Linked DNA regions of Diceros bicornis minor. The protein of the gene in region 1 interacts with the protein of each later gene in a pairwise test. Links are inferred from orthologs where the notes say so. Each region holds a gene or a part of one and is shown in the gene's direction. Other genes may lie near its edges.

The links.
Region 2: the proteins of PRMT1 (region 1) and CDC37 interact in binary tests that used the Homo sapiens proteins (3 or more experiments, as listed by UniProt). The link is inferred for Diceros bicornis minor from reciprocal best matches to the Homo sapiens genes PRMT1 and CDC37.
Region 3: the proteins of PRMT1 (region 1) and SPEG interact in binary tests that used the Homo sapiens proteins (3 or more experiments, as listed by UniProt). The two-hybrid records come from large-scale screens. The link is inferred for Diceros bicornis minor from reciprocal best matches to the Homo sapiens genes PRMT1 and SPEG.
Region 4: the proteins of PRMT1 (region 1) and EWSR1 interact in a two-hybrid assay, tested with the Homo sapiens proteins (2 studies listed by BioGRID and IntAct). The link is inferred for Diceros bicornis minor from reciprocal best matches to the Homo sapiens genes PRMT1 and EWSR1.

What each region holds. Positions count from the first base shown.
Region 1 is NC_080773.1:25,063,207-25,070,325, forward strand, and holds the start of PRMT1 (protein arginine N-methyltransferase 1), read left to right. Parts: upstream 1-3,879; 5' UTR 3,880-3,894; coding exon 3,895-3,930; intron 3,931-6,055; coding exon 6,056-6,109; intron 6,110-6,320; exon of another isoform or gene 6,321-6,410; coding exon of another isoform or gene 6,411-6,428; intron 6,429-6,645; coding exon 6,646-6,747; intron 6,748-7,119. UniProt on the Homo sapiens protein: Arginine methyltransferase that methylates (mono and asymmetric dimethylation) the guanidino nitrogens of arginyl residues present in proteins such as ESR1, histone H2, H3 and H4, FMR1, ILF3, HNRNPA1, HNRNPD, NFATC2IP, SUPT5H, TAF15, EWS, HABP4, SERBP1, RBM15, FOXO1, CHTOP, MAP3K5/ASK1, MICU1 and NPRL2.
Region 2 is NC_080769.1:8,807,600-8,814,758, forward strand, and holds the start of CDC37 (hsp90 co-chaperone Cdc37), read left to right. Parts: upstream 1-3,901; 5' UTR 3,902-3,945; coding exon 3,946-4,047; intron 4,048-7,159. Other genes in the region: collagen alpha-1(I) chain-like, read left to right, coding at 2,077-2,549. UniProt on the Homo sapiens protein: Co-chaperone that binds to numerous kinases and promotes their interaction with the Hsp90 complex, resulting in stabilization and promotion of their activity. Inhibits HSP90AA1 ATPase activity.
Region 3 is NC_080776.1:9,697,229-9,704,556, forward strand, and holds the start of SPEG (striated muscle preferentially expressed protein kinase), read left to right. Parts: upstream 1-4,070; 5' UTR 4,071-4,125; coding exon 4,126-4,504; intron 4,505-7,328.
Region 4 is NC_080774.1:22,947,674-22,955,371, forward strand, and holds the start of EWSR1 (RNA-binding protein EWS), read left to right. Parts: upstream 1-4,457; 5' UTR 4,458-4,559; coding exon 4,560-4,572; intron 4,573-7,698. Other genes in the region: RHBDD3 (rhomboid domain-containing protein 3), read right to left, coding at 667-1,050, 1,703-1,892, 4,311-4,457. UniProt on the Homo sapiens protein: Binds to ssRNA containing the consensus sequence 5'-AGGUAA-3'. Might normally function as a transcriptional repressor. EWS-fusion-proteins (EFPS) may play a role in the tumorigenic process.

The sequences.
Region 1 (7,119 bases):
TTGTTCAGGTGTGAGTTACAGTGCTGTTGGCCGAGAGTTCACTGTGAATGAATGAACAATATCTATTAAGTAAGGTGACTTTAAGCAGAAAACACACATAAAATAAGGTTGTTTATTGGTGGGCTGACAAAAGTGTTGGGACCAGAGGCTCACAGGAACCTGACCCTGAATTTTCCTTAGGAACGATGGCTCTGTGTTCACTAAGTCAGTGTTCGCAGCGACTTTTTAGAACATACACCACAAATCATAAGAATCGACCGTATATTGAAATAAAGTTTTCAGTGTTGATATAAAAATGAGTGTATATAATAATAGCCATGCTTCTTCATTAACATCAATTAACAACACCCAGAGAGCGTCTAATAACCATGATTTCTAAGTAGAGCAGGAATGACATTTTGAGGTATATTAGTTATTGCTGTGTAACAAATCCCACAAATTTAGCGGCTTATGATAATACACTTTTTTTGTGTGTGTGTGTAGAAGATCAGCCCTGAGCTAACATCTGTTGCCAATCCTCCTCTTTTTTGCTGAGGAAGACTGGCCCTGGGCTAACATCCGTGCCCATTTTCCTCCACTTTATATGGGACGCCGCCACAGCATGGCCTGACAAGCAGTGCTGCTGTGCGCGCCTGGGATCCAAACCTGGGCCGCCAGCGGAGCACGCACTTAACCGCTTCGCCACAGGGCGGCCCTGAGATTCTTTTTTTTTTTTTAATATAAAGTCCTCAGAATCTGGTGTGTGTCTTGCGCTCGCAACACATCTCGGTTCAGACTTGCCACAGTCCATTGCTCATTGCCCCATGGGGCAAGTGGCTGCCATGTTGGAAAATGCAGAATTTAATGCTGATGATGCCCCCACTTCTGACTCTTGCTCAGATCTCTCCCCTGAACTCTATACCCAGGTATCCCCCTGCCCAATGCCATCCTCTTTTCAATGACATTTGGTTATTCTGTAGTGTTGAAGAGATAGTTTGTATTAATTTTTTGCTCTTCGTAGCAGCACATAGCAAAAGTAATTGATCGGGTCAAAATACTTGGAAATCAGAAAAAAAGGTTAAAAAATGCTGACACGGGGCCAGCCTGGTGGCGCAAGTTGTTGAGTGCACGCGCTCCGCTGCGGCAGCCCGGGGTTCGCCAGTTCGGGTCCCGGGCGCGCACCGACCCACCAGTTGTCAGGCCATGCTGCAGCCAAGCCCCATATAAAGTGGAGGAAGATGGGCACGGGTGTGAGCCCAGGGCCAGTCTTCCTCAGCAAAAAAAGAGGAGGATTGGGAACAGATGTTAGCTCAGGGCCGATCTCCCTCACACTCACAAAAATGCTGAAACATTTGGAAAAATAGCAAAAAAAAAAAAACGGGGGGCCGGCCCGGTGGCGTAATGGTTAAGTGCACACGCTCTGCTGCGGCGGCCCAGGGTGTGCAAGTTCACATCCTGGGCGCGCACCGATGCACCGCTTGTCAAGCCACGCTGTGGCGGCGTCCCATATAAAGTAGAGGAAGATGGGCACGGATGTTAGCCCAGGGCCAGTCTTCCTCAGCAAAAAGAGGAGGATCGGCATCAGATATTAGCTCAGGCCTAGTCTTCCTCACCAAAAAAAAAAAGGCAGTACAGTAGGGGTCAAGATGTGGGCTGTGATAATTGATTAATAGGACTTCATCAAAATTTAGAATCTCTGCTCTTCCAAAGACAACGTTAATAAAATGAAAAGGCAAATCACAGATTGGGAGAAAATATTCCAAGTAGATATATCTGACAGACACTTGTCTCCAGAATCTATAAAGAACGTTTACAATTTCTGAATAAGAAAACAACACTGTAGGGGCTGGCCCGGTGGCTCAAGCGGTTAAGTGTGCGCACTCCACTTCAGCAGCCCGGGGTTTGCGGGTTTGGATCCTGGGTGCACACCGAGACACCGCTTGTCACACCATGCTGTGGTGGCGTCCCATATAAAGTAGAACAAGATGGGCACAGATGTTAGCTCAAGGCCAATCTTCCTCGGCAAAAAAAAAAAAAAAAGAGGATTGGCATAGCATATTAGCTCAGGGCTGATCTTCCTCACACACATACCAAAAAAAAGAAAAAAGAAAACAAAACCGTTTGTAAAAATGGGCAAAAGACTTGAACAAACACTCGATAAAAGAAGATACACACAAGGGCTGGCCCGGTGGCATGGTGGTTAAGTTCGCGCGCTCCGCTTTGCAGCCCGGGGTTCGAGGGTTCGGATCCCAGGTGCAGACCCACACACCACTCATCAAGCCATGCTATGGTGGTATCCCACATACAAAATAAAGGACGATTGGCACAGATGTTAGCTCAGGGCCAATCTTCCTCAAGCAGAAAAAAAAAAAAAGATACAGAAAAATGGCCAACAATCACACAAAAAAGTGCTCAACATTAGTGGTCAGGACAATGCAAAAGAGAACCACGAGATATCGCTTCATACCCACAAGAATGGTTAAAATTCAAGAAAATGGTGGAACACACTGGAAAACTTGGGAGTTTCTTATAAAGTTAAACATACACCTAACCGTAGCATACGACCTAGCCATCTGCTTCTAGGTTTAGCCGAGAGAAATGAAAGTGTGTGTCCACAGAAAGACTTGTAGGTGAACGTTCATAGCCACTTTATTTGTAATAACTCCAATCGGGAAACTACCCAGATGTCCATCAGCAAATTGTGATACAGCCACACGATGGAATACTCCTCAGCAGTAGAAAGGATGGGACAACTGTTGTATGCAACAACATGGCTGAAACTCAAAAGCATTATGCTGAGTGAAAGACAGACACCAAAGAGCACAAAGAGTATAATTCCATTCATATGAAATTTTAGAAAAGGGAAAGCTACACTATAGTGACAGAAAACAGAAAGGGGGAGGTCTTGACTGGAAATGGTCATAAAGGAACTATCTGGCGTGATGGATAGATTCTGCAAGTCGCATTCATCTTCATCCAACTAGTAACTTTCTGCAGGACGAGGAAAGCTTCCTGGAGTAGGCGGCCTCTGAGCTGGGCCCTGACTGACGTATAGGAGTTGGCCAGACGAAGGGAGGCGGGTGTTCCCGGCAATGGGAGGGGCTTGGCAAAGTCCAAGCGGCTTGAGCGGGCTCCCTGGGTTTTAAAAACTTGGGGCAGTTAAATAGAGGGCTAAAGGTTAAATGCCTCAATGCCTGAGGCTTATTCCTGACTTGTCTCGCAAGCCCGGACAAGCCCTCCCTCTCTGGACCTCGCACTGCTTCACATTTCCCCTCGGGTAAATAGGCATACGCTCTCTTGTTCCTCCTGGACTCCCCTAGGGCTGGGAGAATCCACCGAATGGGCGATGAGTGACAGTCCTTCTAACCAATCGCTGAAGCCTAAAACGGTACCTACCTCCTGATGGGCCAATCCCGTGTTCCCCTCGAGGCCGACAGCTTGGCGAGGGCAGGCCAAAGTCCTCGTGACGTCACATTTGGGCTAAGCCAATAGCAGCTATTAAAAGGCGGATCGTTTTGGTGACGGACAGCTCTATTTCAAGATGTCCACTTAGCGCGGGGCCCGCCGGGAAGTTGTGAGGCGGTGCTGGTGGGGGAACGGGCGGGAATTCCTGGTTGACTTTGCCCAATCATCAGTCGCGCTTCTTACGATAGACGGGCAGTCTTTCCCATCCCGGTCGACTTAAGGGGGCGGGGCTCTACACGCCAGACTGGGCGGGCCCCTGAACTTTGACGGGCGTCTTCTTCGTCCAATTGTCAAATGGTATTCCCAGACGGGCCGCCTTCACTGCCAATGAGATCTCCAGGCGGGGTCGCGCTGGGCGGGCCGTGGACCCTCCGGTATAAGACGGTCCCGGGGGAGTGCGGAGAAAGGGGGGGGTTTCGGCGGCCGGAGGAGGAGTAGGTGCGGGTGAAGATGGCGGCAGCGGAGGCCGCGAACTGCATCATGGAGGTGAGCGCCTGGAGCGCCGTCGGGGGCGGGGGCGGTTTGGGGGTCGGTGTTTTATGCCTCCGTCATGGAGAAGGAGCTCCGAATAGACGGATTGGGGCAGAAGGCCCCCAGCCGTACCGAGAGGGCGTCGCATATTCCGGATCCGGGGGTACCTTTTGAAGTTCGGGCTCCCTAGCTTTCGGGGGCCCGCGGCAGCCGGCCGAACCGTGGGTATCGTGCCCCCTCCCACGTGGAGGAGGGCCGGGGGCGCTTCCGGCCTGGCCCCCACGTGGCCGCGGCGCGGTGGGTGGGGAGGGGGTGTGCCGTGCCCGGTGGCCTGGCGGGCTCCACGTGTGGGACAAAGGCCCCGCCCCCGACCGGAGGAGGGGCGCCCGGGGGGGCGGGGAGGAGGCTCCGACCCTCCCTCGGACGCCCCCAGCCCACCTCCCCGGGGATCGTGACATACGCCTCTGGTGGCACTTACCTGGGGTCCTCTGCGAAGTAAAGAGCCTCTTAGGAGGGGCGATGTATCTTGAGCCTCTGCAACCCCCTTTCCGGGAGCGGGGCGTCTGCTTAGGCATCGGTCCAGGTTTCGTGCACTTTGGGGTTGGGGTTGGAGGAAGACTAAGAATTGGCCCCCTTCGGGCCGTCCCGTTTCCTGTTGCTGGATTCTCCCCCGCCCTGCGCTCTGGGAGCTGGGGGGATGGGGTATGCCCCTGTGACCTCCCTCTGGGGGGGCACCTAGCTGAAGGAGATCCTTCTCGATAAGGCTTCGTGCACCCCCTTGTGGCCATTTCTGGGTGTGTGGGAGGGACATCTTTTTCATGGGGCGTGTCCCAAAGCCCACCTCCTGGTTGGAGCCCTCCGGGGCAAGGGGAGGGAGAGTTTGTCTGCTGGGAAGGGGATGTGATGGAATACAGGCTGCGAGCTTAACCCCTTACAGGACCCCTTTCTCCGACGCATTTGTGAGAGTGGGAGATGACCTCCCCCTTCCTGATGTCCTATTTAGGGGTCCTGAGCTTTGATGCATGAAGTGGTTTCCCGTGAGGTTTGGTTCTTGTGCTGCCATGTGGGGCTGGTTGCGGTGCTGGATTTCAAGCCCTCTTGGGGCTCGTCTGGTGGTGGTATTAGTGGTGTTGAGAAATGGGCCCCAGTGGGAAATCCCCTCCCCAGGCTTCCTTACTGGCTTGGAGGATGGGAGTGGGGCTTGGAGCCCAGTGGGTCGTGTCTGTGACTTCACGCTTGGAGGGTGGTCACATCTGGAAGAGATGTAATGTGATGGGGCCTCAGTCACCAAGATGCATACCATTGGGGGGGAGCTCCCAGGGGTCACTCCAGTGTGACCACCCCCCATGGCTCTCTCCTGGACCCGGGCCTGTATCTGGTCGTGGAAGAAATATCTTCCCCAGAGGTTGTCCCCGGACTTGGCCCCACACCTGGGGGGCTTCAGGGCCTTGGATGGGTGTGTGAATGAGGGGAGAGGGGCTTGAGGGGCCAGAGTCTGGCCATCCTCCCTGGGACTACCTTTCTGGGTAGAGGGTAACAAGAGAGGTGATTGGTTCCAGCTGGTTTTGTTCTGGCCTTCCTGAGCCCAACGCAGGAGGTAGAGGCTGGGGTGCCACCTCTGGTGGGGGTGCCACACCTCCTTTCTGGAATCCTCTCATAAGAGACTGGTTTGCAGAGGTGGCAGATGCCCAGTGGGTGCACCTTGCCAGCCCCCCTCCCCCAGCTACTCCTGGCACCCCAGGATGGGGGTGTGTGTCAGGAAATGTCACCTAATCTGGGGGGATTAGATGATGAGGGGGAGTGACAGCTGGCAGTGCCTGTGTGCCCGGCGGGTGCCATTCCTCTGGCCAGGATGGGGGAGGTGTGTATGGTCAGGTGCCTGGCCAGAGAGGGGCAGTGTTGGGGCAGGCCACCATCTCTCCAGCCACAGCTGAGACAGGACCCCTCTCTTCTCCCTCCACTTCTCTCTTTTTAAAAACAGCCCCGCCTCTTTACTTGCTCCCTCTGTCACCACTCCCCACCAAGGAAAAGGAAAATTGCAGGCAACACCCCCCTGCCCCTACGGGCCTGTGTCCTCTGGCCTGGCCTTCCCCTAGCCACCCCCAGTAGCTAATCCTTTCTCCCTGTTACTCTCTCCTAGAATTTTGTAGCCACCTTGGCTAATGGGATGAGCCTCCAGCCGCCTCTTGAAGAAGTAAATATCCTTTTGTGAGACCCTTCCCCACATAAACATGTCTTGCCACACATCAGGCCCTTCCTAGCAGTCTAACCATGATCTCTCTTGCTTCAAACTGTTTACTCCGTACCTCCGAAGCACTTACTCCAAACTCCCTCCAGCTCTGTGGCCCCCAGCTGGCCTCCCCCAATACTGTGGCTACTTCCTTAACTCCATTCCCAGCCCCCCTTTGCCCTTCCCTGTGTCGACCCCAGTTCTGCTTCCCCTCCCCTCTCCAGCTGTGGGCTGAGCTAGAGATGGGGGCAGAGAGACTGGAGAGATGGTAGGCGTGGCTGAGGTATCGGGGTGCTCCCCTGGATGGTGCTTTGGGGGGGGTCCTGGAAAGAGAGAATGGGGTTGTTAGGTTTTGGGGTTCTGGGGGAGGCAAGATGGCAGGCGGGGGCTGTAGGTACGATTTGGGGGGTGTCTATGCTCTTCATAAGTAGGGACCTGGAGGTTTAAGAAGCCGTGGGGAGCCCCCAGTTTTGACCCGCGCTCCCATCCACCCCTCCCAGGTCTCCTGTGGCCAGGCAGAGAGCAGCGAGAAGCCCAATGCTGAGGACATGACTTCCAAAGATTACTACTTTGACTCGTACGCTCACTTCGGCATCCACGAGGTGAGTGTGGACAGTTCCTGAGAATGCTGATTCTTCGTGGGGTTAATGTTTGGCAGGGCTGGACCTGAATTTCCCACGCATGTGCAGTGCCTCCCCTGGCAGCGGGCCGCCCCTTTGCGCATGCGTGGCACACGCTCCGGGGGTCCTTTCGCTCAGCCGTTGCCTTGGAGACCGAGGTGAACCTGGCAGCTCCACGGGGCCGCTCTTGGGAGGCTGGAGTGGGAGCGCGCATGCGTGCCTGCGACTCCAGCCGGAGGGCGGGGCGTGCCGGTCTCTGCCGCCCTCTCGTGACCGGTGGTGGGACTGTCCCCCAGCTGCTCACGCCCGGTGCGCAGACGTGCCTTTTTGCACCCTGTGGAGGCTGAGGTCCCA
Region 2 (7,159 bases), on another chromosome or scaffold:
GCCCTGGCGGAAACCCAGGTTGGGGAGGCAGGGCCTCAGGAGCCAGCCTGAGTGCCCGGGTGGATGGGGGCACTAAACTGCCTTCCCCTCCCCCGGGCAGCAGGCCAGCTGGGGAGGGGCGTCCAGATGGCAGAGCAGGCCACTCTGGGCAGCTGGCACCCGGCTCAGGCTGGGAGAGGCCTTTTCCCCACCCAGCTTGTCAGCCACTGGCCCAGCCTGGGAGCCCCTGGCCTGGCCCGACATGGCTTCACCCAGCCCAACATCCTCCCTGAAAACAATATGGGGACGGGGAGCCAACAAGATGGAAGGAAATGAGGATAAGCACCCTTGGCCACACCTTGGCCCTGAGCCTTCAAGCCTGAATTAGGGGACAATCACTACTCAAGCTCCATGCCTGGAGCTGGAGCAGGGCTGAGAAGGACAGTCAGGGGCGCCGTGCGTGTGTGTGTGCACGTGTGTGTGCGTGCATGAGACTTTGTACCCAACTGTGCATGTGCAACCGGACGGGTGGAACTTTCTGTGAGTCTGAGTTTGCGTAGTTGAGATCAGACTGTACCTGTGGGAGTGTGTGTACAGGACAGGGTGACAGGTCATGTCTGTGTGTGACTGTCATATGAGTGTGTGTGTGTTGGGGAGGTGGGGTACATGCATGTGGATGCAACAGGAACAGCATTTCACAGTGGTTAGAAATGCAGATTTGGGGTTCAATTCTCTGCTCAGCCACTCATGAGCTGTATGGCCTCAGACACATTAGGTTCTCAGGCTTCAGCCTGAGTATTTGTTAGTATGATTACGTTTGTCTGGATTCAAGTGTGTGTGTGAAGAGTAAGCCACCTCCTCCAGGAAGTCTTCCTGGATGCCGAATCTGAATTGCACCCTTTCATTTTTCTTTCTTGTCAGAAGCCATCTATTTCCATCGAAGTCCTAATCATAATTTGTTGTTATATATTTATTTGTTTGTTTATGTTGTTTCTTTTCTGTTTCTTCCACTAAATATCAGCTCCAGGGGGGCAAGGAGTTTTGCTCTGTTCACTGCTGTGTCCCCCGCACCTGGCATATAGTAGGCGCTGAATACTTGTTGAATGGATGAATGCAGGGCTGTGTCTGCATGGTACAGAGGGAGAGGTGGGTGCTCGCTGGGCTCCCAGGGGGCCCTGTGTGCAAGTGTGTTCTCTACTCTCTTTCTTTCTCAGCTGTTCACAACCATGCCTTCAGCCATCCTCACTTTTAGGGGAATGATGTCCCCTTATAAACTCCCTGTATCACCGTTAACACCATCTTTTCCTTTCTCTGGGTCTTACGGACTCAGTTGCTTCATCTGTAAAATGGGAGAGGGGATGGATCGGTTCATGATAAGCTTCCTTCCTGATCTCAAGTGCCATGAAAATAGTTTTAATCTAAGCCCTTCTTTAATTCATTCAACATTTATGGGGCGCCAACTGTGTGCCAGGCCCTGTTCTAAAGCCGGCCCTGCCCTCGTGGAGCTGAAGCGAACAAGGAAGGCAGGAACGACCCAGAAATCTCATTTAATCTCCAACACCCCCCCACCCCCGCCCTTGCCTGATGGAAGGTTCGTCTTCACGGTCTGCAATCGCCGCGGGTACTTCTCTGTTTAGACACGGATCTTGCTCCCTCGCCAGCCTTGAGGGGCAGCAGAGCAGGGACCCAGCTGGTCTTGTTGGTGGCTGTAGCCCCCGCCTGGCCACAGCGCCGTGGCGCATAGCAGGCTCTCGGGAAATATGTGTGAAATGAGCTAAGAAATAAATGATGGAGGAAAGGCAGGCTCGCGTGCATGGCCCCTGGGCATCCTGGCCGTGTCATTACCCACTTTGCAGATGGGGACATTGAGGCTCAGGAAGGCAAAGCCGCTTGCCGGGGCCCACCGCAGCTCAGTAGCGAGTGCGTGGCTGTGGGATACAGCAGACGAAGCTTGTGTAGCCCAGAGGAGCACTCCCAGCCCCCGCGCCCACCTCACAGGTCCGAGAAACGAAGCAGGGGATGCTCTGACGGGAGGAGGGGGGTGGGAGACCGAGGGACAGTGCAAAGCAACTCAGGGGTCTCTGTTTCGGTCCCCAGGGTTGGAGATGCTGTGCTGGCAGGAGATTCGGAAATGCTCCTCGCTGATGGGGCAGCTTCCGGCGCCCTCTCTCCAGTTCTGGGAGCTGGGGCTCCTAGGACCCCGTTTCGCTGGCACCGGGCAGCTTCAGTCTCCGAAGCCGGGGAGAGACCCCCCCGCGCCTACCCGGGAATCCCCGACATCCGGGGTCCTCCCCACACACCCCGAGCCCGGAAGCCGGCCTGAAGCCTCCAAGGGCGTACGGGGGGGGCCCGGCTTTCTTGGGGAGCAGAGGAAGCCCCCACTGTCCTGGCCCCCTCCCTCCGGGGCGCCGGGTCTCCCTCCCCACCGCAGCTCGCAGCCCGAAGCTTACCTTGCAGGGGGGCTGGGGAGGGGATGCCCCGCCCTCTCCGGCCTGGGGGGCGGGAGGGGACAGGGGTGTCCAGACCCTTTGTTTGCTGGGGTGTGTGTACGTGTGTGTGCGCGATTGTGAGACCCGCTGGGGTGTGGGTCCTTGCGCGCGTGCTCGGGCCGTGACGGCCGCTGAGATGCTGGACTGCCCGGGCTGGAGGGGGAGGGGTTGGGGGAGGGGGAGGAGAGGGACTCCCCCGCCCGCCCACTCACGGGGTTGAATGGAGCTCGAGGGGGAGGGGCGGCAGCGGGCGGGCGCTTTTGTTTGAATGGCCCCACCTCCTCCCCAGGCCGGGGAATCCGCCCCCAATCTGGAGCCCTTTACTCCATCCCCTCCAGTCCCCTCCCTGCAAACAGCAGCTCTGGGAAGAGGCGCCCCTCACCCGAGTGAAACTCCTCCCATCCCACCCGGCCCCCACGGAGCGCCCTTTAATCTGAGATAATCCCGGCCCTCGGCTGCAACACGGCCTTTTATCCCAGTATCAAAGCGTGGGTTGGGGTGTACGCAAGAGTGCGGCTGGGGTCGCCCAAGCTCAGAGTAAGGGAGTCCTTAGAGCTCCGGCCGAGGCAGGGGGCCCCAAACGAAAGGGGAGGGCCTGGAGGGGTCCTAGAGCACCACGACGAGGAAAGCCCCCATCCGCACCTCCACGATCCCCCCCGACCCGGCCCTGCACGGGGCCAGGAGCCCTGACCGCTGGCTAGACATTAGCGACACCTAGCGGCCGCACGGGGAGACGCCGCGGGCGGGCGCCCGGGACCCGTTGCGGGGGATCCGGGTGATTCCAGAGTGGGCGTGTGTGCGCGAATCCCCGCTCAAGAGTGGCGGAAGATGAGGACGCTGTGCCCGAGCCTGGAAAACAGCAGCCCCCAAAGCACAGCCACTTCGCCCCCACCTCCGACGCCCCAAGGGCAAGGCCATATCCCTCCTCCAGTTACAGGCTCCCAGGGCAGGGCCCTGTACCCCTCGGACTGGGAAGGTCCCCTGCGATCCGACACACCCCTCCCCAGCGTAGGGTTAGGTCCCTCCCCACACAGGGCAGAGGGGCGGGTAGTTTCGCCGAGGCCCCGCCCCTGCAGTGGGCTCGGGCTGACGTCACTGCGGCGTGACTAAGGGGACAATCCTCTCCCTCAGTCTCACGAACTGTCCCCTCCACCCCACGGCCGCCGCAAACGCCCGACGTGGGGCAGCGGGAGATGCGGGGGGATAGAGGTTAGAGCGCCCTCCCGTATACCCCCAGGAGGTGCCTGGGTCCGGATGAGAGGGGGTCTCGGCGGGGACTCCCGGGGGCCAGCACACGTGCGCAGGGCCCTTTAAGGCGAGCTCGGTCTCCAGCGCCGCCGCCGCCGTTACCAAGGATGTGACGTCATGCGCGGGCAGGGGCGTGCGCGCGCAGGCGGAAACGGAAGGGGCGGGGCTCCGCGGGCTGAGCCTCCAGCGCTGCCGCCGCCGCCGGAGCGGGCTGGGCCGCCGAGGCAAGATGGTGGACTACAGCGTGTGGGACCACATCGAGGTGTCTGACGATGAGGACGAGACGCACCCCAACATCGACACGGCCAGCCTCTTCCGCTGGCGGCACCAGGTAGAGCGCGTGCGCCCATCCCCTTCCCCCGCTGCCGGGACTCCGCTCCGGAGTTCTGCCCCCCGATACCGCCAGGGCCCCGCCATTGACACCCGGGATCCCCACCCCGCAGTCTGGACTTTCATTATCGCCCGGGGTTCCTTGATTCAACTCCGGGACCCCAGAACTGCCGGGACCCTGGGTTCCTGCCCGCGATCCGGGCCCCGCTTCCGATTTCTGCATGGAACTCCCAGTTGATCCATAGGGCACCTTCTTCGGAGGCTAGACTCTCAAGATAAGCTTTGTGGGTGCCCCCCAATCCTGTCTGGGACCTTCCATCTACACTCAGAACTCTGCCTCAGAGTCTGGACCCGGGTCCTATTCGGGTACCCACTTTTCTTGGATATCCCATCGGCCCTCCCCAGTTCCTAGAGTCTGGACCCCTAATACTTTGCTTCTATTCTGGAGTCTTCCTCCCTGGGTCTTGACGGGGTTCCCATTCAGATCCAGAGATCCCACTCCTCCAAACAAAGCAAGGAGCTCTGTCTTCCCCTGAGATTTCTGTTCCTGGCCTGGGACTCGAAGCCATACCCAAGACTCCTTTCCTAGAGTGTAGACCCGTGCCCCCCCAGGGCCTTCAGTCCCATCTAGGACTAGAGTTTTGGAATCGTGTTCCCTTCCAGACTGAGCCACCAGCTCCACCCTGAGGGAGCCTCCACTTCCAGCCGCTCTTCTTTAGTGTCACCCACTGCAGACCTCATTTCCCATCACACCTGGAAACCCTACCCACGTGGCTCCCGCCCAGCCAGAACTCCTGCCTCTGCTGGGTAGTGCAGACCCAGTCATTGCCCACCCCAAGACAGGCTTCCTGTGGGAACCTTTGCTGGCGTTGGAATTGTCACCCAAACCCAAGGCCACCTCGCCTTCCTCCTGACCCCAGGCTGGTCTGCTGTTCTCGGACACCCAGATTGTCCTTGCCCCCACCAGGGACCCTCCCAGTGTGATTCCAAATTCACTGCCCCTTCTTTTATCTCTTTGCTCTTAAATCCAGACCCAGAATCCTAAGTCTGGGTGTCCTCTTGCCCCCCTCCCTGCCCAGCAGTGCTGGCAGACCAACAGAATGGCTCTCATAAGACCTAATGGCCTAACCTGCTCCCCCAAATCAGAACTCCTGTACCCACATACCTATGTTATACTCTCAAACTGAGAGTGTATATTTCTCAGAACCTTCCAGTTAGAAATTCCTCACTCCACTCTCCCATATGGCTACTCCCAGTCATTTATCCAGAACCTCCTAGAAGGGCCCTTCTCTGTCCTGCCAAGACAGGGCGGTAGTCCCTACAGCTGGTTCCCGGTTCCATCTCCAACCCATTTCTTAAAGCAGCTGTCTCTTGGCCTGCCGGGCAAGCCCCTGAGGTGTAAGAAGAAAGTTCTAGCATTTGTGCTTCTTGCCGTGTGTAACACCTTATTATGAAATACTTAAGACCTTCACAAAGCTCTAAAAGACTATTCTTGGGAACACCTCTTTCTGTCACATTCAGAGGTTAATCTATAGCTCAGAATGGAGAAGGGTTTGGTCCTGCTGGGTGGGAGGCGGGTGCCCCCTCTCCTGCAGCGTCTTCCTCCCGCCACGCCCTCTTCCCGCCTCCCTCCTGGCCCAGAACCTTTTCCTGTCCTGCTGCCAAGAGAGCCCCGAGGCTGTAGTGGAGGCAGGGGGCCTCAGCGGCTCCACCAGCAGGCAAGCCTGGGTTCTAATCCCAGCCCTGCCCCTTGCTGCTCTGCTCTGGGGGCAGCAAGACCCCTGGTCCCCAAGACCACTGTAAGAATGAAATGAGGTTGGGTCTGAAAAGAACTTGGCTCAGGGCCTGAGAGGGAGTAAGGTAGCAGAGGGGGCGGTGGGGTTAGTAAAAAGGCATCTGGGTGTGCTTCTGAGCACAGGCCTGCCCACCTGGCTTCACATCCTGGCTCCTGAATCCTTGACTTGCTGCATGACCCCCAGCGAATCTTTTGATCTCTCTGTGCCTCAGTTTCCCCAGCTGGCAGTATTAATAGTATCCACCCCAGAGGGTTGTTATAAGGGTCACCTTATTTGTTTAACGCTTGTAATGCCCTTGGGACAGCAGCCGGCATGTGATGAGCTCTCTGTAAACCTTAGCCATTATTGTCATCATTTTTATTTAGATAATTCACACTCATGGTAAAAAAAAAAAAAATTCCGAAGTTTCCAGAAGGGGACAGGTGAGGCTTCCCAGCTCCAGCTCCCTGGCTCCTTTGCCATTACTGGTTTCTTGGGGCCCTTCCAGTGAGCTGTGCGGCGTCAAGATTCCATGAGCCTCAGTTTCCCTGTCTGTAAGGCGGGGAGGCAGTGGCACCTTCTGGCTGCCGTGGCTTCCGCCCTGCCCGGCCTGCTGCAGCCCCTCCCGGAGGTGTAAAGCCCAGGCCGGGCAGGCTGCCGCCCCACCAGCTCCAAGCCCTTTATTTAGCTTCGGCCTCCCTGGCGGCCACTCAGACGACACCTGGGAGAGCTTGGTGGCCGCGCAGCAGAAGCCAGCAGGGCGGTAGGGTCCTGCTGCCAGCCGAGGCCAGCTGTGTGCCAACCCCAGAGAGCCCCTCGCAAGGCAGAGGGAAGGCTCCAGGGTGACGCAGGCCCACGGTGGAGAAGGGGAGGCGGCAGGGGCCAGGGCTGCCTTCTCTTACCCCTCCACGAGGCGAGAGCCTTCTCCACCCCTTATCCACATGGGGAGAGGGAGCTCCGGGTTGGCCATGCCAGCCCTGTGGGGCCTTAGAGAAGGTTCTCCCCATTCTCATGCTCCATGTGCCTGGCCCTGTGCTCGAACTCGTGATACAGCCTCGAATGAGGCCCAGACACAAGTCAGCAGACCATTCTGGTGGCAGTGGCCGTGACCACGGTCGTAACAGTGGGACCCGTCTACTGATTCCGGTGTTACCGGCAGTTTCTGTCGAGTAGCTCAGTCCTCACAGCAGTGCGAGGCCCCATTTCACAGAGGGGAAACCAAGGCAGGGAGAGGTGTAAGCGGCTTGGCCAAGGTCAAGGGCACGTCACGGGTAGGTCGTGGAGTTACTGATGATGTGGTAACGACCACCCCCAGTTATAAAGCGTTTCCTCCGGGTC
Region 3 (7,328 bases), on another chromosome or scaffold:
CCCAGGAACTCTAGGACAGGGGAGATGGGTGTGGTGCTCCCAGAGAATGGACAAAAATAAACCAAAACAGATCTGGGCCTCGTGTGGTCATACACATACACCCCATTGCCTCCATGGCAAAACCTCTCTCTGCTCTTTGGGACACTCTGGTGTCTTCTTCAAGACTCTGAACATAGAGAAATAAGAGGGCTCACAGGGGGCTGACTGGCTTCCCCCTGGACCCACACGACCAGTTCTAGACCAACTCAGACCCCACCTGAGCGGGTGGAGTAGGAAGGATGGTGGAGGCAAGTATGTCCCTAAGCCAGGAACAGAGGTCTCAGTGGGCACCTTCCTACCCTCTCTGTCCACTCTGGCTACCTTTCCACCCCCAGCCCCTTGAGACAAAGCAGGCCACCCATTCCCCCCACTTCCTCCTCTCCCTAAAAGCCTGCCCAGGATACAAATGCAAATACATCAATGACCTTTGATTCAACACCTAAAATGTCAGCTACCCAAGGGCAAGGTTTTTACTCATTTTTTTCACCACTGTAATGTACCCCAGTGCCTGGAAGAGTGTTTTGTCCATAGAAGGTGCTCATTAAATATTTAAGTATTTCTTGAATGAATACCCACTGGGCACTTCTATTTACTTTTCTCTAAATTAAATATTTACCAGAAAGGCTGACGGCCCCCACTTCATTCACTGATTCAACCAATACTGACTGAGCTTTTACTAGGTGCCAGGCATATGGTGCATCATTATGACTCAGCAGAAACTCCCCACAGCCCAGAGAGGTGGGGTGAACTGCCAAGGTCACACAGCATATCTGTGGCAGAGGAGGACTAGGCCCCAGGCTCCTTGGCCTCCAGAGCCCAGATTTCTTTCCATTACACCATAGGCTTGTGATTGCAAGGCAGGGCAGATTGGCAGCACACACCCAGACTGGCGCCAGGCCGCGGGGCACTGTGGGGCCCATGCTGAGGGACAGATGAACGCCTTGCAGCCAGCTGCCCCCGGTGACCAGCCTGGCCAGGGCCTGACCGCTTCCGGCTGTCACAGCTAGTGCGGGGTCCTCCAGGAGAGGGCGCCCGAGACTCGCTCGGCCTGTGCCCTCCCTAGCAGGCCCACACGCTCCTCATGCGCACATCAGTGCATGCCCCCATTACCGACATTCAGACGGGAGACCCACAAGCTTGTTCCAGGCTCTGTGCCAGGCCCTTCTAAATAGTTACTATTCATTTTAATATTTAATATAATAATTTAAAGCCATCACAACAAGCTAAGTCAGATCATGTAATTCCTCGGCTCAAGATCCTGAGATGACTTCCCATTTCTCTAGGAATAAAAGCTCCATGGTCTACAAGACGCTCAGCTATCTGATCCCTGCTACCTGTCTGATCTTATGTCCCTCTACTCTCCCCCCACTCCCTCCAGCCCCTCTGGCCACCTGCTCTTCTCAGAGCCCCCAGGGCACAGTCCCACTCCTGCCTGAAGCAGTCCTGCCCAGACATCTGCACCATTTCCTTCCTCTCCCCTTCAAGATTGGCTCAGCTGTTCCCAGCGAGGTCAATTCCTATACCCTATGTGAGAACGCAAGCCCCCACCACACTCCCATCCCCCTTACCCTGCTAGATTTTTTTCCACAGTACTGTCTCCTTCTAACGATCTATATCGTTGCTTTATTTCTTTATATTTGTCTCCTTCCTCGACTATAAACAGCATGGGGGCAGGAATCCTTGTCTGTTTTGTCCACTGCTGTACCTCTAGTGCTTAGGACAGTGCCAGGTACACAGTAGGAACTCAAAAATATATGTCGAATGAATGAATAAACCGTGAGGTGGGCTACGCCCATTTTATAGATGAGGAAACTGAGGCTTAGAGATGTTAAGGGACTTGATCAAGATCACACAGTTCATTTATTCAACCAACTGACCAGCCAACCAGCCAACATTTACAACCACCTACTGCATTCCACGCAATTTGGTGACGCACAGTGCTGGGTGGCTTTGGGTTATTGGTTTTTAAAAAGTCTCTAGTCCTTTGTTCCTGATGTTCCTTCCACTTACAATGCCTTCCTCCACATTTTTACCTTTTAGAATTTAATTTTCGTTTAAGAATTCAATTCATCATCCACAGTTGCCAGGGGTTGGTGGAGGGGGCGTGGCTGACTACAAAGGGGATGCTGGGCGAATATTTAGGGTGATGAGACTGTTCTGTATGGTCCTGGGGTAGCCGATGCGCAGTTCTCTGCATTTGTCAAAACCTGGAGAACTGCACATCACAAAGAGTAAGCTTTAATGTGTGCAAACTAAAACAGAAAATTTCCTTTTTCAAGGCTATTAGTCCCTATGGACATAATTCCGTGTTTCAATTGTTTCTTTCTACCCTCTCCATGCACACACAGACATAAGCACACTTTGACTTCCGTCTCCCAGAATGATGGTGGGGGATAAGGAGGCGACATTAAGAGTATCTTTCTCCATCTCCTAGGGACTCAGGGCTCTTCTCTTGGCTGCTCTCTGCCCTTCCCAGCTTCATCCCTCAGGGCTCAAGTTCAGGCCTGGGTCTCTCACCCGAAGTTTTTTTTAAACTTTTTATTTTGAGATAATTACAGACTCACAAGTGGCTATAAGAAACAATACAAAGAGAGCCCATCTACCCTCCACTTGGTTTCCCCCAATGGAGTATCTTGCATAACTATAGTACCATATCACTGCCAGGAAATTGCCATCGATACAGTTTACCCACCTTCTTCAGATTTTACCAGTTTTACATGCACTCATTAGTGTGTGTGTGTGCACGCGTGCATGTGTGTGTTTGTGTGTGCACTTAGTTCTATGCAGTTTTATCACATGTGCAAATTCATGTGACCACCACCAGAGTCAAGACACAGAACTGTTCCATCACAAAAGTCTCACTTGGACTCTTAAAAGCGGTAATGTCCTATCTTGATGTTTCTCAAAGTGCAACTCTTAGATGCCTCTGAGTCACCTGGACCACTTGTTAAAAGTGCAGATTCCTGAACTCTCCCAGCGACCCTACTGAACTTGTGTCTCTGGGGGGGTGGCAGAACCTGTACTTTATAGAGGCCATACTTTGAGAACCACTGGTCTAACTGGTCTCCAACTCGCCCATCTCCAGTTCACCCTCCACACTATGGCTGCCAGAGGAATCGTTCTAAAACACAGCTCTGACCACATTATCCTGCTGCTTAACACTCTGCACAGGGGCCCAACTGCCATCAGGATAGAGATCTTAGCAAGCAAAGCTCTCTCCGTCAGGCCCCACCTCCCACCTCCACTCACCCCACCACACTGCGGTTCAATCCCTCCAAACTCCTCCAATTTCAGAACACATCATCTACTTTCACCACACTCTGATTTTAGTCATGCTGTTCCCTCTGCGTGGAACGTCCTTCCCACTCTTCTCTGCCTGTTGCAACCCTATTCAATTACTCATTTTTATGGATGAGGACTTGGAGGTTGAGAGATGTTTGGTGTCAGCCAGCAAGTAAGGGCAAGACCAGCTGGGAGCCGGAATCCTCCTGACTCCTTGCTCCTGGTTTTACTGATCACCGCGCTGTCATGGAGGCTGGGGGCCGCCCCTGTCCTCTTCCCTGCTGTCTGCTCACCTCCACTTGGGCCTCCCTCCCCATCTGCCTCTCAGGCAGATCACCCAGGGCCTCTCCCTCTCCCTCAGCCAGTGGGACAGGGAATCAGGGGTCTGAAAGGAGGGAGGAACAGGAATGGGATTGCGCTCAGGGGTAACCCGACTCTGGGGTGGGGGGCAGGCACACCACGGGGGAGGGGGCTTGGAACAAGTCCTCAGGGACCTGTTTAAGCTGAGGCAGGCTATGGGGGCTCCTGGAGGGAGAGAAGGAGCAGAGAGATGTCCAAGTTCCCTCCTCTGCTGCCCCCTCCCTCCACAGCTCCCTCGCAACCCGAGCCGGGGGGCCTAAAAATAGCCCCCGAGGCGCAACCACTGGCCGCCCTGGTGACCTTCTGGGTAGCACAGGCCGAAGGCAGGCGGGCAGCAGGAAGGCAGGACGCCGGCCCCCCAGGACTCATCTCCAGGGCACCGTCCCCTGGGTGCCCCCGTGGCCATCCAGTTCCAGCGTCTCCCCAGCCCAGCTCGCAGAGGCCATGCAGAAAGCCCGGGGCATGCGAGGCGAGGACGCGGGCACGAGGGCACCCCCCAGCCCCACGGTGCCCCCGAAGAGGGCCAAGGTGGGGGCCGGCGGAGGGGCCGGGGCCGGGGCGCCCGTCTTCCTGCGGCCCCTGAAGGACGTGGCGGTGTGTGCGGGCAGCGACGTGCGGCTGCGGGTGGTGGTGAGCGGGACGCCCCAGCCCGGCCTCAGCTGGTTCCGGGATGGGCAGCCCCTGCCCCCGCCGGCCCCCGAGCCCAGCTGCCTGTGGCTGCGGAGCTGCGGGGCACAGGACGCCGGCGTGTACAGCTGCAGGGCCCAGAACCAGCGGGGCCAGGCCTCCTGCGAGGCTGTTCTCACAGTGCTGGCGGTCGGAGGTAATGGGGAGGAGAGGGCTCGCCTGGCGGGGTGGGGTGTGCAGAGGTAGACCAGGCCTGCTCCGGCCACGTGGGGAGGTACCGGTTCATCCAGCCTTCTCCCCAGGTGCTCTGGCTTCTCAGCTGTGCTGATCCAGAAGTGACCATCAAGAGCAAAGTGCAGGGAAAGTGATGTCAAGGTTGAGAGGCTCTGTGTAGGAAGGTCAGAGGTCAAGGGCCAGCATTTGGTAGGCAAAGTCTGAGCCCCACTCAGGCCTCTCTGGGAATTCTGTGAAAGCCTTCCTAGTTTCCCTGTAGAGAGAGGCCTTCTGGGAAATCACCTTCATCAGCTTCAGCAGTTTAGATTTGAGACCCCTGATCAACCCCTTACAGGCATGTGCATGACTGAAGGAGGGGCCAGTCCCCTGGTCCTGCTGCACTGTTGAGGGGATGGGTCAGAGCTCCTTGCAGTCCATTGCTGGGGCAGGTTGATATGGTTGGCACCAGGCTGGTTGGAAGAGGCCAGTGAGTGGACAAGTATGAACAGGGTGCAGAGCATCAGGGCTGGGGTCCTGGGCGTGTATGGAGGTGGGTGTTTGAGAATCCACATGCAAGCATGCACGTGGCAGGTGCGTGTACCGGCTGTGGAGGGGTCTGGTGGTACAAGCAGATGAGGGACAGGTGTTTGTAGAGTTGGTATGGAGAGTCCATGGATATGTCTACCTGAGGTTCTAAAGTGGATGTTTGGAGGGCCTGGAAGGGAGATGCTTGTGAGGGTAGAGTGCCAGGCTCGTGTGTAAAGGGATGGATGATGGTCCGAGGCAGAAGGGGAGAGGCATGAGACTAGGCCTGGTGCTAGGGTCCTGCTGGGGCTGGTGTGGGTGCCAAGCCAGGGCCGATTCTCCTTGGGTCAATTTTTGGGCTTCCTTTTTGACTTCCTCATCCCCGAAGCCAGCCAGTTCTTCTCCAGGCTTAAGACAGAACCTTGGCAACCTGAGTCTTGACAAATAGAATTCTGAGAAAGTAGGCTACAGTCGGGGGAGATGGCAAAGAGCTTGGGGGCCGCTGAATCTGCCCTGGTCATTTTCAAGAGGGAATTCTCACTCCAGCTGGATGATGTCTTGTAGGGGTATATGCTTGGGGGCTAAGGAGGAGGCTCAGGGATGAAGGACCTAACAGCTGGAGGGGAAAGAAGGCTCTAGAGTGCAGCCAAGTAAAGAGATGAAGCAGAGGCTCAGCTCCCTCTGTCAGCATCTCGGCTCTCTCCCTAGCCCCACCCTGCCCCACCTCCTACAGTCTTCAGTGAGAGAGAGGCCAAGGCTGGCTTCTCTTGGGTGGCCTCACACCTGTCCAGGTACTGGCTTTCCTAGCCTGGGGATAGGGGACCAGGCATGTCCTAGCAGAGCCCTGAGGTGAGAAAGGATCAGATTCCTTGGGGATCTTAGCTCCGGTCCCCTTAGGGGCAAAGGGGACTGAAAACAGAACATAAATCAGAGGGCAAGATAGATTGATGAGAATACGGCTTGGGGGAGAGCGATATTAGGGAAGGGAAAGGCAGCGCTGAGAAGGAGTGTGGTGGTCATAATGTTTGTTTAAACTTGGGAAGAACCACAGAGAACCACAGCTCCAAACACTGCCTTTTACGGGTGAGGATGCTGTGGTCCAGAGTGGAGGGAGATCTGCCCCAAGACATACAGCTAGTTATGGCCCTCCCAGAACTAGGGACTAGTCCTCCTGGTTTCTGATCTGGGGACTTGTTACTACTCCAGAAGTTCTGAATGGAGGAGAGAGAAAGGGAGGGGGAGCTGTCCATTGTATGGAGAGTAGTCCAGATCTGGCCTTTCTGAAAACGAGAGCCCCCTACTCTGCCCTCGTCCCCCAAAGTGGGGAGAGTGACAAAGTGCTAGAGCCCCCCAGCAGGGCTGTGTCCTCAGCCCTTCTGTAATCTGGGGCATGGTCGGCAGAGGTGAGTCCTGGCTGGGTATGTTTAGACAGAGGCTGGGGGCTGGTTCCAGGCTGTTCTGGTGGACTAGCATGTCTGAAAGGCTTGGGGTGAGGAAAGGACCCTCGGTGCTCTGGGGCTGGATGTGGGGCCTTTTGACAGTCATGTTAAAACAGGAAGAGGGATGGGTTGCAGCAAGTCACATTTGAGAATTTTTTCATCCTGGTGAAATCTTTACCCCAAGGGTGGCCTGATAATTATCATTAATTGGTAATAATTCTTAGTAGTCATTTATAATAATATGAATAGCTACTATGTTACTGTGTGGCAGGCAATATGCTATCACATCCTTTGATATATCTTTTAAGTCCTGTGGCAACCCTGGGGAAACTGAGGCCCAGAAGGATTAAATGACATGTCCTGTTGTACAGACAGAAGAGGGCAGAGCAAGAATGGAAGGCTTGGTCTGTCCCACTGCAAAGAACCATGTGCTTAACTACTACGCCCCTCCCACACGATGTGGGGGAGGGAGGGGCTTTGCTTTGGTGATGTTGGGGGACAGACTGGGTGACTCGGGCTTCTTCCTCCTATTGCCCGCTCCCACTCACCTCTGCCCAGGAATAGGTCCTGCTCAGGGCAGCTGGGCAAGCAGCTCAGTATTGCTCAGACTTATTCATGGAAAACTTTCTTGGTTGGGATCAACAGCAGGAGGACTTCAGGGTTCTCGAGGAAGCCCAGCCAGGACCTGGCTACAGAGGGAAGGAGGCTGTTTCCTGGCTGGGATTGCAGTCTGGCTCGGCAAGACGGGGTGATGCTAAGGTTCCTGGCACTCTTGAAGCCTGAGATGTTAGCTCAGGGGTGGAGGGATGTTGGCATGGCTTGAGGAGGCTAGGGCCTTAAGAA
Region 4 (7,698 bases), on another chromosome or scaffold:
AAAAGCTGTCTCATCCCGTTTCAGCCACCCCCTGCCCCGTTCTGTTCCCAGAGCCCTGTGGCGTGCTCAGGTCTGTGACTTGAGGCCAACTCTTGGGCCCAGTGACATATCCCCTATTGCCCTCAGCCAGGGAAAGATGCTGCCCATGCTCCAGGATTCAACCAGGCCTGGGCAGCTGGCATCCCCAGTCTTAAATGCCTACAGGGGGTCAGCCTGTGCCCACTGTTCTCTCCAACTGCACTGTTTTCCTTGCCAGGCACTAAGTATCTTTGGAGCAAGAGCCTGTGTTGAACACACCTGCACCACCAGCCAGAGGCGGCACCTCCGTTCAGTGCCCAGACAGCCCCAGGCTCACTCTCACCCCTGGCCTTTGACCTTTCTGTGCCCTCTGCCTGGCCCACTCTCTCCTTTTCCACTTCTCTTCACCTGAACTCCTCATCCTGCACATCTCAGTGTAGATGCTGCCTCCACTGAGGAAGTCCAGGTTAGGTGCTTCTTTGGGCCACTTCGGCACCTCCACCCGGCCACGAGCCCCCAGAATGTGTGTGCACAGGTTCCCAGCATTGTTGGGGCTACCTCCTTGTGCCACTTCCTTTCCAGGCACCCTGGGGGCCCAGCCACAGAACCCACATGTCCGCATGGGCCCTCGGCCCAGGCAAAAGATACAGGCCAGGCCAGCAAGGAGGCCGCAGAAGAGCTGTAGGAAGGGTGGCTCGGAGCTGAGCAGCGGCGTCAGGGCGAGCAGCAGCCATGGCAGCAGCCGCGGTGGCAGTGCCCCATGGGGCCGTCTAGGGTGACAACCCTGCCCCGCCAGCATGGCCAAGTGGACAGGCATGTATCCGCAGCCACCGGCTGCACTGGACACCCCGAGGCCTGCCAGCAGCACGGCCATTAGCCCGGTGGCCAGGGCGAGCAGGGCAGAGGCATGCAGGAACCGCAGTGTGCCCAGGTGGCACTCCTGCTGCCAGCCCAGTGTAGGCAGGAGCAGCAGGCTCAGGAGCAGGCCGGGTAGGGCCGTGTGGCCCAGGGCATGGGTCAGCAGCCGGTGCACTGGGGGAGAGAAGGGGTTTATGTGCCAGGTTAGTGGCCCTAACCCCCAAGGCTGTCCCAGGTGTTCCAGGTTGGAAATTACGCTGCAAGGGCCACCTGCTAAGCCAGCCTCCCCTCTCCAGGAGTCAAAGTCTGCCCATTGCCAGCACTTTAATCATGCATGCAGGGGACCAGGACCAAGGACCTTCAAACACTGTGACTGCTCCCCTGCTGTATTAAACAGAACAAGCCGGACCCAACGCTCAGTCTTCTCAAAAGCAACCAACTGTGCACGAGTCACTTAACCTCTGTGAGCATTAGCTGGGTTCCTCAAATGTAAATAGAAGCTGCTGTTATTACTGGGAAACAGGCACTCAGCTGGGGTCACTCCTCGAACCCCCAGCACCTCCTCCCCACTCTCATGCTTAGCTGAAAGCCTTAGTTCTTATTTCCAGCAAAAGTCATCAAAAAGGGAAGTCATCTGAAAAGAATTCCTACCCACAGGCTCCCACCCCTCTGCTGGCCCCTCTGCTTTCCCTTCTTGGCTGTGAATGAGCTGGGCATGCTCCCGTCCAAGGCTGACCTTCCCCAGGGCACACCACTCCTGCCAACTGGTCTCAGGCCCTACAGCAAGTCTCCTGCCTCCTCCAAGGCCCATGTGGCCAGCCCTCACCTTGCCAAGGGTCCAGCAGCAGCTCTGGGGCTAGGGCAAGGCTGGGGCCAGCCCCCACCAGCCACAAGCTGCTCATGAGCAGCATCAGGACCGAGGAGGCGAGAGGCAGCGCTGGTGACAGTAGGCCAGGGGGGCCTCTGGCAGGCATAGCTGGGCTGAAGGTGGTCAAGGGTGGTCTTCGGGGTGTGTGCTAGAGGCAAAGGAAAACAATAAGTTATTTCTGCAGCTTTTCTTTGATTTCCTTTCAACCACCCTACCAGCGGCTCCATTTTACAGAAGTAGAAACTAAGGCTGGAGAGGCAGGCCCAGCAACTTGGCCATGGAGGAGCTCGGATCCTAACCACGTTCCTAGCCATTTTGCCATCCCATCTGCCTATGTGTGAAGACGGGGAGGGGCCAGGCCAAAAGGGCCCTGAGCCCTGATGGGCCCTAAGGAGGAGTCTGGGGTGGGAGGCACAGGGCCAGGGAAGTTTAACGGGGGCCCTGGACTCCCAAAAAGAGGGGTGGAGCCCCCCATGGCAAACTCAGGGCCATCTCCAGCTTTCCTCTGCTTCCCTCTTCCCTCTGGTTGTGGACCAGCCACCTTCCTCCCTCCTCCCCTCCACCGGGCTCAGCCTTAGGGCTCCAGATGGCCCCAGCTGCACTTAAGGGAGGAGGTGAGGCCAGCCAATGGGCAGGCAGATTAGGGAGGAGGCGGGACAGACTGGGTGGAGGAGGGGCAACAGGAGTCCCTCACCCTGAGTGCATACAAAATGACACCGGACTGACACATCCCCTTCGTGAGTCCTGAGCACAGCCCCTCCAGCCCTAGCCCCTCTTCTCACAGGAAGGTTTTAGTATCCACTCCACTTCTTCCTGCTGTGCATCCCTGGGCAAGTTTTCCAGCCTCTGAGCCTCTCCTTCCTCATCTGTAAAATGGGGATTAAGAAAATCCTTTCCTTATAGGATGAGAAAAAGGAATGGGATAATGCAGGGCCGGGCCCACAGACCCTGCTCAATGAACTGCAGCCATCCGCCTAATTGTGGGAGGCAGATATAGCCAGCAGCTGGCCCACCAAGAGGAGGCCTCAACATAGAGGCAACTGCTCCTGCCTAGCTGTTTCAAGCTCTGGCCCTCAAACATGCCAATTCCCTGCCCACAAGGCAAGGGTTTTTCTTCCTTGTTCTCTTCCCTCACATCTAGCCTGTCCTCCAGGCCCTGCTGGAACCCCCCTCACCCCTGGCCAGGCCTGCCTCAGGACTCCCACGGAGCTGATTTCATAGGGCAGGAAGCAAAATCCCACAGAGACCCAAAGGCTGCCTCACCTGCTCCCTTGCTTAAGGGCATCCTCAGCATCAAAACCCACCTGCCAGTTTCCTGCAGGAAAAATGCAGAAAGCTCCTCTGCCTGCAATGTCCTTGCCTCCATCTCGCCAATAGGCAAACTCCTATTCACGCTTTGAAGCCCAGCTCAAATGTCCCCTTCCCCTCCTCTGGCCCCCCACATCATGGATCTTAGCCTATCTAATGAGCACAGCTTGGCCTTTCTCCTTAGACAGGTGGTCTGAGCTGGGGAAAAGGGGTGCTCTTACTCATCCCCCAGTTCCCCCGGGTGCTCCCAGCACATAGCTGGTGCTCTATATGTGTTGACTGAAATAAAGCCACTAGCTTTGCTCCAGGTCCCACTGAGGGGTTTGGGTGAGCTCTGCACTTCCCTGGGCCTGGGAACCTGCCTGGGGAGACTGGGTTGAGTCCAGGAAGGCAGACAGGTGCCAGCCTTGTCCGGAGCTATGGCACCCACTGCCAGCCTGCTTTTGCACCCTCACAACCATCCCTCCCTGGGTACCTCAGCAAGAGTTAAGGACTTGCCCATAGACTAACAGAACTAGGACTTGAGTCCTCCGGGCCTCAGTCTCTTCATCTATAAAATGGGGCTGTGCACCATCAGGCCCTGCCTACCTTACTGAGAAGCCAGGAGGACAGAATGGGAAGATAAAGACGGGTAAGAGTCTTCCGGGTGATGAAGAGAATGGGGGTCCCAAGGTGTAGGTCAGACTCAGCTTTGTGACTTTAGGAAAAGTACCCAAATTCCCTGGACCTCAGTTTCCCCTTCTGTAAAAACAAGAGTTTTGGATGGGGGATATTAAAGGGCCTTCTCAACCTCGACCGTTACCGGGGAGGGGGGGGCGGCTCTCGGGCCGGGCACCACATTCGGGGCCTCCCATCCAGCCCACCGGCCTCAGCCCCCTCCCCCGCCGGCCTGGGCCACGTGTCGGAGTTACTCACTGCGGAGCGCGCCCCCCGCCCCCGGAAGCCCGCGGGGGGCTCCCGCCTGGGAGTCGGGACTCTAACTTCCCGCCACGGCGCGAGCGCCCGGAGCCCATTTTGTTCGCAGTCGGGCGCGTGACCTCTGCCGACCGGCCGGCGCACCACCCCCTCCGCCGCCGCCCGCCGATTAGTCAGCAGTTGTTCTAGGCCCGGGTCCCTTCCCCCAACCCTCCCGCCGGCCTCCGTTTCCCTCCAAGGCAGACTCTTCAGAGACGGTCCCTAGAGCCAGCGGACGTAACCATTCCGTACGACTTAGCCTCGTGCGGAGAATCACTCCGGCTTGATACCAAGACACGCTCACCGGCCGCTCCGGCCCCTTTGGTGCTATTTTGGCCCGCGCGTCACGTCCGGCGCTCTTTAGAGAGGAATAGCACAAGAGTTGCGGGCGGGAAGGACCAGAAAGCTGTGGTTCATCCCTCCTTCCCCCACCCCCGTGGCCTGGCCCCATGGTAGCGCCCGAGGTTGCGGGTTTCGCGCCTGCGCAGTGCGGCGCCTAAAGGGAAAGCGAGAGGGAGACGGACGTTGAGAGAACGAGAAGGAAGGAGAGAAAATGGCGTCCACGGGTGAGTGTGGTGGAGCTGCGGTCGCGCCGGCGACGGCTGGGTCGCCCAAATCGGGGGCCGCTCGTCTCTGGGGGTGGCCGGGGCAACTAAGTGGAGTTGCTGAGAAGCGTGTGAGGTACCCGCCGCGGCCCGACGAGCTCGAGGGCCCGCGTTCCCCTCCCCTCCCCCCACCGAGCAGGCCGGTTCTGGAACCTTCTGGCGCCCCCGGCGCGCGGGGGGCTCGCGGCGGCGGGGGCGCGCGGGGCTCGCGGTGGTCTCTATTGTGTGGCGGCCGTCGGGTCCCGCGCTCCGGGCCGCCCGCCACGTGGGCGGGGCCTGCGGCCTCCCGGGCCCCGCGTGGGGGGAGAGGCTCGGCCAAGCCTGGAGCCTGGCGCCCCGAAACCGGAGGCGGGGGGCCAACGGCGGCTCTGGGGCTGCCACTCTGACCCTCCCCACCCCCATTTCCAGGGAGGCGGTTCGAGCTGGAAGGCGAGTCTGCCTCAGTGAGAAGCCCGAGTAGGGGGAAGCATATCAACAAAAAAGGCATCGCGGGTCCGTGGGCCGAGGGGCGCCGACCGATGAGCGGGAGCCCCGTCATCCTGATGGCCGGGTCGGCTGGGGCGTACGGTGCCGCCGAGCTGCCCCTTTGGCGGGTTCTAGCCCCGAGCCGAACTTTTCTGCCCGCATGGGCTTTAGAGGGAATGTGCTCCCCCTTTAGAGCCTCCCCATCAGCTGCCCCCTGGGCTTCTCCGTTTATTATAGTTATTAATCCCATCTCTTCCCTCCCTCAAAAGTAATTAAGTAGTCTCCTAGGATCATTTTTCAGTAGACGCCGAGGGAGATCTGTTGTATAAGGTCAGCCCGAATCGCGAGGCCAGAAATCCCTCCCAAAAGAAATTTCTGGTCTCTTTGACCTAGGAGAAACAAAAGGCCCGAGTCGGCGTTTGAGTTGTGCTCGAGCAATCGTCTCGCACGTTTATTCTCATATGTTAAGCCGACAGGCTTGTTTATTTCGTGGACTGATAGAAAAGAGGGAAAGGAGGCACACAGTGGGCTTGGAAAGAAAGCTCGGGGTGGGAGCTCGGGCGTGATGTCTAGGGTGGTTCTTGCTGCACAGAGCGTTTGAGAGTGTAGCCTCCACATCACCTGCGGTTTGTTCTAGGGCTAAGCTGTGGTTATTGGTAGGATGGGGCATTATTGCCTCCGGGGGTGTTCTTAGAGGGCCTAATTCCAGGCCCTAGAGGCAGTGGGAGAAGACGAGATAAGACAGGAGAAGCTCTGGGTCCTTCAGAGTTTTAATTCGAAAAGGTTCAAGACTCCAGGAACTTAGGGACAGTTTAAGAACTCTTCCCGAACTGTGTGGTCAGTAAACAGGCAAGTAAATGCTGGCTGTTAGTGCCAGGGTACAGAGTGCCCCTAGAAGAGAGGACTCTGGAATACCACAGTCCAATACACATCCTGGTGGGAAGTGGTTTCCTTAGAGGCCTTTCCACCTTCCTCTTCCCTGCAGTGTTTGAATTATGTAAGGGGGAGTCAGAATGTGTATGTTGAAATTTTTGTGTGGCTGGACGTGCCAATTTTTTGGTCTATTTTGCTCAAACTCTCTTTACTGGTAACCACCAGGTACTGTGTTAGAATTACAGTTGTGGTTTATGTAGACACCCAGCAGTAGGCCTGGCTGGGGAACCTTTGGAGAGTCCCGCAATTTATCTGGACTTTGGTTTCCTTTCCTTTGAAATGGAGGAGTTAGGCTAGATGTTTTAAGAGCTTTTTAAGCCCTTAATTTCTGTCTTTACAGCAAAGCATTTGGGCTCCCACAAACTTCCCCCATACTGACTTTAGCTTATTATGTGGTATGAAGCTCTAAATCTCTGCAGTTTGGATACTGACTGCCCTAAAGTATCTAAAAGCCACTACCTTGGATAATGCTCCATGTTTTTCCTACTTATGTATATCATATATAGAGAAGTACCTAAAGTGTGTCTGGTTTAACAGAGAATTACAGTGCAAACTCCCAAGTAACCACCTTTCAGACCCGGAAATAGGACACTGCCAGCACTCTAGAGGCCCCCCTGGATCACAGCCCCTCTCTCCTCAACCTGGCCTGTTATTTTTAGTGAAATCTTCAGCTGCAAGTTTGGAGGTTAAAAGCAAAACATAACTGATGGCTAAATAATCTGACCAGTGTGTAACTGGAACGTTTTTAAGGCGGTATAATAGTGTTTATGTGCAGTAGGTTGATAACATAAGTTCTCATGAAACAAATTTGCTACCTCACTTAGCCGAACAATGTGGGGCTAAATCTGCTGATTTCACACACACATCGGAGATCATTCGCTGTTCCACATCAGCTTTGCCAACTTTATGTTTTACATAACTCTTCTTGTGTAAAAGTCTTCTTGCAAACATTGAACTTACATGTCAGTGATTTAGAATCATTTCTCACGTAGAAACCTCAGCAAAATGTAGGTTGAAATATTTTGATTTTTGATGCCTCACTGGTGTGTTTGTGAATACCACATGGAAGAAGTGATTTGTATTTACTTTTTATATGCCACAGAGAGCATAACTTGTAGTGCTATTGAAAATGCCTTAAGTTTTAACCTTAAAATGTCTTAGGGTCATCTTGGAAAAATCAGTTTGTTCATTATACATAGCCTTTGGGCATTTGATTTGATCATGTTAATGATTCAGGGTTCTGCGTTAAAGATGTGTACAGAGGAAGGAAAGTAGTCAAGTGAGGTGTAGAGAGGTAGAAAGATGAGCCAACTTGAAAAGATGGATTCAGGAAAATGCTCTGAGGCCAGGTGGACTGTGAGGCAGGATGGAGTTGAGGTAGAAACCCCACCATGAAGAGCTGAGATGTCAACTGTTGCTTTCAGATGAGGGACTACTTTCTGGTTGGAAAAGAAAGGAGCCTTTTGTTCAGCCCTATTGGCAGTACTGTTTTCTAACAGAATAAGATATGTATTTCTTGTGGAGAGCAAAGAATTAGGTAGAATTTTTAAAAATAATTATTTTAACTCCTTTAAATGTAAGCTTAATTCAGTAGTGCTGTGAAAACTTCATAACCATTTTATTTTCTGTTTGTTTTCACTACTCTTAGACACCTCACCGGACCACAGTTTTTAGTCCCTTTCTGTGCAT